Arabidopsis thaliana: one gene and its partner. The protein of the gene in region 1 interacts with the protein of each later gene in a biochemical or structural test. Each region holds a gene or a part of one and is shown on either strand. Other genes may lie near its edges.

The links.
Region 2: the proteins of MBD6 (region 1) and CHR1 form a complex in vitro, tested with the Arabidopsis thaliana proteins (one study listed by BioGRID).

Annotation. Positions count from the first base shown.
Region 1 is NC_003076.8:23,950,186-23,954,228, forward strand, and holds MBD6 (methyl-CPG-binding domain 6), read left to right. Parts: upstream 1-1,946; 5' UTR 1,947-2,135; coding exon 2,136-2,444; intron 2,445-2,853; coding exon 2,854-2,976; intron 2,977-3,054; coding exon 3,055-3,300; 3' UTR 3,301-3,522; downstream 3,523-4,043. Other genes in the region: ACT4 (actin 4), read left to right, coding at 75-468, 617-1,230, 1,336-1,401. UniProt on the Arabidopsis thaliana protein: Transcriptional regulator that binds CpG, CpNpN and CpNpG (N is A, T, or C) islands in promoters regardless the DNA methylation status. Plays probably a role in gene silencing. May associate with histone deacetylase proteins (HDAC).
Region 2 is NC_003076.8:26,647,059-26,653,727, forward strand, and holds CHR1 (chromatin remodeling 1), read left to right. Parts: upstream 1-1,838; 5' UTR 1,839-1,991; coding exon 1,992-2,023; intron 2,024-2,228; coding exon 2,229-2,307; intron 2,308-2,442; coding exon 2,443-2,709; intron 2,710-2,810; coding exon 2,811-2,897; intron 2,898-3,005; coding exon 3,006-3,352; intron 3,353-3,432; coding exon 3,433-3,622; intron 3,623-3,707; coding exon 3,708-3,883; intron 3,884-4,015; coding exon 4,016-4,082; intron 4,083-4,159; coding exon 4,160-4,349; intron 4,350-4,431; coding exon 4,432-4,527; intron 4,528-4,604; coding exon 4,605-4,699; intron 4,700-4,773; coding exon 4,774-4,893; intron 4,894-4,996; coding exon 4,997-5,116; intron 5,117-5,201; coding exon 5,202-5,300; intron 5,301-5,390; coding exon 5,391-5,495; intron 5,496-5,586; coding exon 5,587-5,811; 3' UTR 5,812-6,133; downstream 6,134-6,669. Other genes in the region: AT5G66740 (spindle assembly abnormal protein (DUF620)), read left to right, coding at 56-343, 591-932, 1,018-1,500. UniProt on the Arabidopsis thaliana protein: ATP-dependent DNA helicase that plays a role in formation, organization, stability and heritability of heterochromatin and thus regulates several physiological traits.

The DNA.
Region 1 (4,043 bases):
GACTCTTATTGCTATGTCACATATATATAAGGCTATGCCATAAACGACTACTCAAAAATATATCCCGTGCTTAGGCCGGATTCGCGGGTGACGATGCACCAAGAGCGGTTTTTCCGAGCATTGTAGGCCGTCCTCGCCACACGGGTGTGATGGTAGGGATGGGACAAAAGGATGCTTATGTTGGAGACGAGGCTCAATCAAAACGTGGTATCTTGACTCTGAAGTACCCAATTGAGCATGGAATTGTTAATAATTGGGATGACATGGAGAAGATTTGGCATCACACTTTCTACAATGAGCTTCGTGTTGCCCCTGAAGAACATCCGGTTCTCTTGACCGAAGCTCCTCTCAATCCGAAAGCTAACCGTGAGAAGATGACTCAGATCATGTTTGAGACATTCAATACTCCTGCTATGTATGTTGCCATTCAAGCTGTTCTCTCACTCTATGCCAGTGGCCGTACAACTGGTCAGTAACACACTTATATTTGTGTTGATCCAATCTATAACCAGTTTTTTTTCATGCTTGATTTTAAATAATATGAACTATTTTAAGGACTATTTGGTTATGCTTTTATGGACAACCCTAATTGGTTCTTTTGCAAATTATTGATTAGGTATTGTTTTGGACTCTGGAGATGGTGTGAGCCACACGGTACCAATCTACGAGGGTTACGCTCTCCCACACGCAATCCTACGTCTTGACCTAGCAGGTCGTGACCTCACGGACCACCTCATGAAAATCCTCACAGAGCGTGGATACTCCTTCACCACAACTGCTGAACGTGAAATTGTTAGAGACATGAAAGAGAAGCTCTCTTACATTGCTCTAGACTTCGAGCAAGAGCTAGAGACTTCCAAAACAAGCTCGTCCGTTGAGAAAAGCTTCGAGCTTCCTGATGGACAAGTGATAACCATTGGAGCAGAGAGGTTCCGGTGTCCGGAAGTTCTGTTCCAGCCGTCAATGATCGGAATGGAAAATCCAGGAATCCATGAAACCACATATAACTCTATCATGAAATGTGATGTGGATATTAGGAAAGACTTGTATGGTAACATTGTGCTAAGTGGTGGAACCACAATGTTTGGAGGGATTGGTGATAGAATGAGCAAAGAGATTACGGCTTTGGCTCCAAGTAGTATGAAGATTAAGGTCGTGGCTCCACCGGAGAGGAAGTACAGTGTATGGATCGGTGGCTCTATATTGGCTTCACTCAGCACTTTCCAGCAGGTGAACACATTAATATACATTTTTATTATTATTTGATCATGTATAATATAACATTCATAAGTTTGTTTTGATATAAATATTGGTATGTGTTTGAAAACTTGACAGATGTGGATTGCGAAAGCAGAGTACGATGAATCTGGACCCTCAATAGTGCATAGGAAATGCTTCTAATCACAGTTCCTAAGATCACCAAACGAAGACGGAAGTAAAAGTAAAAGACAGAAGGTTAAAAACATTGAGATTACTACCAAATGCCACATTTTTCCATTATATTTTCTAATCTCTCTTTTATCCTTTTTTTTTTGAATAGCCTCTCTATGTTAATTTTTCAACTAAGCATACTTTTCTTTAAACAATTTCCACTCCCAATGTACTATATATAAGCGACTAATTTCAATTATTATATTTTCTATTTTAAACTTAATTTATTTGTTACTCAAAAGAGATTTTGTGATGGTTAAACAATTGTGACTAATATACTTCAAAGACATCCGTATCAAACACAAAACAAGCTCCATAATGTTGATCTAGTACAAACAATTGTGACATATAAATGCATATTGTCGAAACTCACTAAATCTTAGATTACTCGGTTAAATGGATGTGGTCTAATAAGTGTCAATAAACACAACACAAAATGTTAAACTGATGGATTAGTGATGAGAAGATGAGTTTAAATGTTTCATTTAGTAATAAAACGTGTTTATTATGTTTGTTGGTAAAGAAAAGAAGAAACGAATTGTTGATGGTTAACTAAATTTTAATTTCTTATTCGATCTCGGTTTAACCGAACCGAATCGTAAACCCAGAAACAGAAGCTGCGACGGAGAATCCATTTCTCGAGATCGTCGCCGTTAAAATCTGCGATCTCATTGCTCATTGGTGAAGACAAATCCCTAATTCGTATGTCAGATTCTGTGGCCGGCGATTTCCCTCCCGATCCACTTCTCGCCTCCGGAGCCTTCATCTCCTCCGCCGGTGACGGAACCCTAGACAGTAGTGCGAAACGACGACCGATTCAGGGAGGAATCGGAATTTCTGGTTCGGGAGAGAGCGTACGCATCGGGATGGCTAACGGCACTGATCAGGTGAATCATCAGACGGAATCGAAGTCGCGGAAGCGTGCGGCGCCTGGAGATAATTGGTTGCCTCCTGGTTGGAGAGTTGAAGATAAGATTCGAACTTCCGGTGCCACAGCTGGTTCGGTGGATAAGGTAAAGAATCTCAGCTTGACTCTGCTTTTCTCTATGAAGTTTTGAGCTGCGTTGTTGCTTGAAGACTACAAATTGAGGATTCTTTGATTGCTGTTGTTTTGTTCTCTTTGGTTTAAAAATCTTGCCTTTAAAGTAGTGACAAGTGTAATGATGTAGTAAAATGATGTGGTTGGTTCTGCTTAAGCATTAATGAGTTTGTTTAGATTATGTTAATGGTGTATTGGGACTTGAATCATACACTTTATCAGTGTGATTAGTGTTACTTTGATTTATCAGGTGGATTTAGATGGTTTGGTTTGGTATATATTGTGATTGAAGAGATGAAGTTTTGGTGTTGTTATACTCGATGCTAATATGGGTGTAGATATTGATGTGTAGACTTGTGACATTTTCTTATCTGGTTTTGCAGTACTATTACGAACCAAATACAGGACGTAAGTTTCGGTCCAGGACTGAGGTGCTGTACTACTTGGAACATGGAACTTCTAAAAGAGGCACCAAGAAAGCTGAGAATACATATTTCAATCCAGACGTGAGTTTACATGCTTAAAGATTAAACCTTTCACCCTGGTTTCAAACCTGTGATGTGTATTGAATTTTGCATTTGCAGCATTTTGAAGGCCAAGGAAGCAATAGAGTCACCAGAACCGCTACAGTGCCTCCACCTCCGCCACCGCCATTGGACTTTGATTTTAAGAATCCACCAGACAAGGTAAGCTGGTCTATGGCAAACGCAGGAGAAGAAGGTTGGATACCTAATATTGGGGACGTCAAGGTTCAAGACTCAGTGAGACGAGATTGGAGCACTGCGTTTACCTTTATCACAAGCCGAAACCCTAGTAAAGTGTCGGCTTGAAGACTATGATGACCTGGTGGCGATTTTTGGGTTGTTGCATCTATGGTAAGATACACAGATATGTTAGGGTTACTTAATTGGATAATTCTTGTTTAGTCTTCATTCATCAATCATCAAGTTATGTGTACTATAATTTTTGTAGCGGTTTTTGGAAGAATATGATAAGGGGATATGCATCTTTGTGTTTGCTTTTGGAACGTGATAACCATTCGACTTTTGACTGATGAAATTGAAGACACTGTCGTAGTAACAAAGCTATTCTTCTTAGACATTTTGATACTGAACTATTCTGTGTTCCAAAGTCTTTTACTTTGTGTTTAGGAAAAGATCTTGTTCTTTGTGAAACCAGTGTCGTAATTCAAGAACTAATGCTTGACATGTCTCACCTGCTCAGGTTATCTAAATCTAATGGATAAGAAGAAACATCAACAATACTGCACTGATACAAGACAAGAAGCGTCTGTAGTCCAACGGTTAGGATAATTGCCTTCCAAGCAATAGACCCGGGTTCGACTCCCGGCAGACGCAATTATATTTTTCCCAAACATAATTTTAGATTTTGTTAACCAAACAATTTGTGGGGTTCGAATGTAACTGGTTGTAGCACATTTAATATCTGCAATAAATTATCAAAAAGGCCATTGGAACTCTCCCAACCCATCGTCTAATTTAGTAATTTTTGGTCTTGTAACCTTCTAGGTGTACCAGAGGCTTCCTTATTAGTCTTGTATCCCAAGCTTTTG
Region 2 (6,669 bases), 2.7 Mb from region 1:
CAATAGAACAAAAGAGAAACAGAGGAACAGAAAGAATAGAAGGAGTGGGAAGTGTATGAGGAAGCTGTGTCCGAACATAGACAAAGACGATGGTCTGGAGACGGTGTTGGAAGTTCCGATACCGGAGGAGATGTTTTCCGGTATGGGCAACAACGTTGCACTTAGGTGGCAAAATATGATGACGTGGATGAAAGCTCAAACGTCTGATAAATGGTCGCAACCGCTTATCGCCGCTCGTATCAACGAGCTCCGGTTCCTTCTCTACCTCGTTGGCTCGCCTCTTATACCTCTCCAGGTTCAAGTCGGTCACTCTGTTCATAAGCCCGTCAAAGATTGCTCCATTGTAAGTCATTCAAAATCAATCCTTATGAAAACATAACAAAGATGTTGAAAATATGATTCCTCTTTTTTTTTTCTTTTTTTCTTTTATGATCAAAACCCAAAAAAGTCATTACCCTGCTTCGTAAGTATTCAACATAAAGTTGTTAATCCATGTGTTGTACTCTGCAAGTCTGCATTACATTATTCATCGTACACAGAGTCATCAACTTCAGTTTCATTGTTTTTTTGCTTATGAATTACGATTGCAGCAAGCTTCAACGGCGAAATACATTGTACAGCAGTACATAGCAGCGACGGGAGGACCACAGGCGTTAAACGCCGTGAACAGCATGTGCGTCACGGGACAAGTGAAGATGACGGCGTCGGAGTTTCATCAAGGAGATGATTCGGGCGTTAATCTAAAGAGCAACGACGAAATGGGTGGTTTCGTTTTATGGCAAAAGGATCCAGATCTTTGGTGTTTGGAGCTCGTCGTCTCCGGTTGCAAAGTGATATGTGGAAGCAACGGTCGGCTTTCATGGCGACATTCCTCTAACCAGCAAACTCCGGCGTCTACCGGAACGCCAAGACCTCTCCGCCGGTTTTTACAGGTCCAATCCGGTTATTGATTTTTTTTTTGATGTAATGTCCGGTTCTCAAAATGTTGAACCGGTGGTTTATTTATTGTTTGAGCAGGGGTTAGATCCTCGTTCGACGGCGAATCTGTTTCTTGACGCAACGTGTATCGGAGAGAAGATAATCAACGGTGAGGATTGCTTTATCTTGAAACTGGAGACGAGTCCGGCGGTTCGAGAAGCTCAAAGCGGTCCGAATTTTGAGATAATTCATCACACGATATGGGGTTATTTTAGTCAAAGATCGGGACTTTTGATTCAGTTCGAAGATTCGCGGCTTTTGAGAATGAGGACCAAGGAAGACGAAGATGTCTTCTGGGAGACTAGTGCTGAGTCGGTGATGGATGATTACCGATACGTTGACAATGTGAACATCGCTCACGGCGGGAAAACATCGGTCACGGTTTTCCGGTACGGTGAAGCGTCGGCGAATCATCGGAGACAGATGACGGAGAAGTGGAGGATAGAAGAAGTTGATTTTAATGTTTGGGGTCTCTCCGTTGATCATTTTCTTCCTCCGGCCAATTTGCAGATCGAAAAATGATTTAGCTTTTTATTAAAAATATTGTTATTCGTTTTTAGCCGATATCATAACTTTTTGAGATACATTATCAACACACTCGTGCAACTGAGATATTCTTGACACAATTTTTGCATTTGAAATTGGCAATTTTGTACTACTCATATAGTTTGAAGCTTCAATTCACTACAAAGGTTATTACTAATTGTGTCGACAAATCCAGCAGATTTAATAATGCCCATTCCATTAAATGTTTTTTAGTTTAATAATAGGATGATCATATGACCAAAATCGTAAATAAGGGTTAGGGGTAAACCTGTCATTTCAAGCTTCCCGCCCATGGGCGCTACTCCCAATTTAATAAAAAATAAGAAAATAGGCGTAAATATGAGAGTGTGTTTTTTCAATATACCCTCGGTTTTGAATTTGCTCTCAAAAGCGACGGAGACGACTGTTTGGCTCGGTGATTTCTCCCGCCGTTTGGGTTTTTCTTACCGGAATTTCCTTCTCCTTCGATGGTTAGTCTGCGCTCCAGAAAAGTTATTCCGTAAGTCCCTCCACCTTTCCTTTTCATTTCGTTATTTCCGGCGATTTTCTAGGTCCTTAACGCTCTCGAAATCGCTCGCTGTTCTTGGTGGTTTTTGGTTCCCTCTCTGCGTAATTTTGTTTGTCGTGTTTTTGGATTATATTCTCTGACTATTGGTCTCACTGTTGATTTATCATTTCTCGATTTTGGATTTTTGGACTCTTAGGGCTTCGGAAATGGTCAGCGACGGGAAAACGGAGAAAGATGCGTCTGGTGATTCACCCACTTCTGTTCTCAACGAAGAGGTTTGTTCTATGTTCTACTATTTTGCCTTCGTAGTGTGGTTGCTTTGTGAAACTTTGTGTGTTACTCTTTGTTTCTTTAAATCTGGGGTGTTCTGTAAATGGGTCCTTTTTGGTCCTTTTTTTCTGAATGTGAAGGAAAACTGTGAGGAGAAAAGTGTTACTGTTGTAGAGGAAGAGATACTTCTAGCCAAAAATGGAGATTCTTCTCTTATTTCTGAAGCCATGGCTCAGGAGGAAGAGCAGCTGCTCAAACTTCGGGAAGATGAAGAGAAAGCTAACAATGCTGGATCTGCTGTTGCTCCTAATCTGAATGAAACTCAGTTTACTAAACTTGATGAGCTCTTGACGCAAACTCAGCTCTACTCTGAGTTTCTCCTTGAGAAAATGGAGGATATCACAATTGTAATCTTCTTTATTTCTTTCTTCTTTGTGGTTTCTCACTTTTCGAATGGGAGTCATTATTCTTAGTTTGAACAACTTGTGGGTGAAATTTGTTTTGCTAGAATGGGATAGAAAGTGAGAGCCAAAAAGCTGAGCCCGAGAAGACTGGTCGTGGACGCAAAAGAAAGGCTGCTTCTCAGTACAACAATGTTGGTTCCATTTATATAATTTTCAACTACTATGCATGATCTTGTATATATTGTTTTTTCTGCTTGTTTGAGAAAGTAACTTACTTGGATGCTTTTTTCTTCAATCAGACTAAGGCTAAGAGAGCGGTTGCTGCTATGATTTCAAGATCTAAAGAAGATGGTGAGACCATCAACTCAGATCTGACAGAGGAAGAAACAGTCATCAAACTGCAGAATGAACTTTGTCCTCTTCTCACTGGTGGACAGTTAAAGTCTTATCAGCTTAAAGGTGTCAAATGGCTAATATCATTGTGGCAGAATGGTTTGAATGGAATATTAGCTGATCAAATGGGACTTGGAAAGACGATTCAAACGATCGGTTTCTTATCACATCTGAAAGGGAATGGGTTGGATGGTCCATATCTAGTCATTGCTCCACTGTCTACACTTTCAAATTGGTTCAATGAGATTGCTAGGTACTCTCATGGCCATATGTGTTTGTATAGATCCAATGCTTTGGGGTTTCTGTTGAAAGTTTTCTTACCTTTTCCATTAGGTTCACGCCTTCCATCAATGCAATCATCTACCATGGGGATAAAAATCAAAGGGATGAGCTCAGGAGGAAGCACATGCCTAAAACTGTTGGTCCCAAGTTCCCTATAGTTATTACTTCTTATGAGGTTGCCATGAATGATGCTAAAAGAATTCTGCGGCACTATCCATGGAAATATGTTGTGATTGATGAGGTAAATTCCGAGATTGGTCAATGTACTAGGCTTTGAAGATCAAGATGATCTCTCTAACTGATAATTTTGTTCTTGTATATTATAGGGCCACAGGTTGAAAAACCACAAGTGTAAATTGTTGAGGGAACTAAAACACTTGAAGATGGATAACAAACTTCTGCTGACAGGAACACCTCTGCAAAATAATCTTTCTGAGCTTTGGTCTTTGTTAAATTTTATTCTGCCTGACATCTTTACATCACATGATGAATTTGAATCATGGTACAAACATGGTCCTTTTCTACTATTATCCCTAACTAGTCTTCTTTTTTTTTTTTTTTTTGTTAACACTGGTGGCAGCTTTTTGACATTTATTCCTTTCTTAGTATCTAACTGATAGATGAGTCTCTACAGGTTTGATTTTTCTGAAAAGAACAAAAACGAAGCAACCAAGGAAGAAGAAGAGAAAAGAAGAGCTCAAGTATGTACAATTATATCAATTTTCCTTTATTTCTTTGATTGTATTTATGTCTTATGCTAAGGGTACATCTTGTCTAGGTTGTTTCCAAACTTCATGGTATACTACGACCATTCATCCTTCGAAGAATGAAATGTGATGTTGAGCTCTCACTTCCACGGAAAAAGGAGATTATAATGTATGCTACAATGACTGATCATCAGAAAAAGTTCCAGGAACATCTGGTGAATAACACGTTGGAAGCACATCTTGGAGAGAATGCCATCCGAGGTACATGATCTATTTTTTTTTTTTAATACTTTGTTTAATTATGTCATTTTCTGCATTGATTTGTTCATCCCCTATACTTCAGGTCAAGGCTGGAAGGGAAAGCTTAACAACCTGGTCATTCAACTTCGAAAGAACTGCAACCATCCTGACCTTCTCCAGGGGCAAATAGATGGTTCATGTATGTCAGTTTCTTTTAAGAAACGTAAGAAAAACTTCTGTCATACTGTTCTGTCTAATTGTTTCATTTCGTGACAGATCTCTACCCTCCTGTTGAAGAGATTGTTGGACAGTGTGGTAAATTCCGCTTATTGGAGAGATTACTTGTTCGGTTATTTGCCAATAATCACAAAGTATGTTTCACAAACCCATGGCTCGTAGCTCATTTCCCTTTGAGAACTTCTCTGATCCATTTGCTGATGACCAGGTCCTTATCTTCTCCCAATGGACGAAACTTTTGGACATTATGGATTACTACTTCAGTGAGAAGGGGTTTGAGGTTTGCAGAATCGATGGCAGTGTGAAGCTGGATGAAAGGAGAAGACAGGTTTCACCTGTGCTTATGCTGCTTTTGCGTTGCTTTTAAGCAATATTCTGACCAAATATTATAACCATAAGGTCTCTCTCTCTCTCTCTTTGCCTTGAAACAGATTAAAGATTTCAGTGATGAGAAGAGCAGCTGTAGTATATTTCTCCTGAGTACCAGAGCTGGAGGACTCGGAATCAATCTTACTGCTGCTGATACATGCATCCTCTATGACAGCGACTGGGTAATCAAATCAATTAATTTATTTTCTTTGAAGGAAAATCTTTCTCTTTCGTGTTGTCTCCAACTGTGTTTTGTCTGATCTCCAGAACCCTCAAATGGACTTGCAAGCCATGGACAGATGCCACAGAATCGGGCAGACGAAACCTGTTCATGTTTATAGGCTTTCCACGGCTCAGTCGATAGAGGTAAAACTCTTTGTTGTTCATATCAATCAATCTTAACTTCAAACCATTGAGATTGTTGCCTCATGAGATTGGTTTATGACATTTGCTCAGACCCGGGTTCTGAAACGAGCGTACAGTAAGCTCAAGCTGGAACATGTGGTTATTGGCCAAGGGCAGTTTCATCAAGAACGTGCCAAGTCTTCAACACCTTTAGAGGTTTTAACTTCTCTTAAAGCTCAATCCTTTTTAGATACACTTATTATCAACAAAATCTCCTATTGACAGCTTGAACCAAACTAACACACAGGAAGAGGACATACTGGCGTTGCTTAAGGAAGATGAAACTGCTGAAGATAAGTTGATACAAACCGATATAAGCGATGCGGATCTTGACAGGTTACTTGACCGGAGTGACCTGACAATTACTGCACCGGGAGAGACACAAGCTGCTGAAGCTTTTCCAGTGAAGGGTCCAGGTTGGGAAGTGGTCCTGCCTAGTTCGGGAGGAATGCTGTCTTCCCTGAACAGTTAGGACACATTAATAAGCCAGGCCTTGAAACCACTTCTGTGTTTTTTTTTTTTTTTTCCGGAACATGATCGGTTACTTTTGGCTGGGAGGATTTAATTATTAGAGGGCTCGGAAGTTTTTGTAAGTTAAAGAACTCACTTAAAACCCTGAAAACATGACAGTTAATGGTGATTAGCTCTCAATGTGATGAAAACAATTGGCCCTCTGATTTTGCTGTTGCGGTAATATTATGACTTGTGTACGTTTATAGTCTTTGTAGTCTGCAATTTTGGCATTGAGCTATTTCTCACGAACTTATGGGATCTTATGTTTTGGATTTGGGATTTGTTAACTTATATGATTAGGCTCAATAGTTTCACAGAATATTAAAAACTTGAGTAGGGTTTAAAAAAGAAGCAAAAAGCTCCGATGCCGGGAATCGAACCCGGGTCTCCTGGGTGAAAGCCAGATATCCTAACCGCTGGACGACATCGGATTTGTTGATGTCTATTCTTGTAAATAGTAAATATTTAGTTTTATCGGTTTTGCATCTAATGGACTAAAACATGAACACGAGACGCCGACAAGAATGAATGGGGCAGGCACCAAACATTTGGGTAAAAGTATGCAGTGGGGTATTATTGACAATTTGACCATTACAAGAGCTAATCTTAGGGGGTTTTAGTTAGTAAAGCAAACCCGGTTTAGGAGTAAATATGGAGTGAGAATAGGGGTAATTAAGGGAATTTAAGAGAAGTCATCATCGTTTTCCATTTTTCTTATTTTAAGCGCCTCGGTGGCTATCTCTCACTCCGTTCGCGTCTTCCTCTTAAAGGAAACCTCCTCTACGCGAAATTCGTATTCTCTCATTTCTTCTACGGA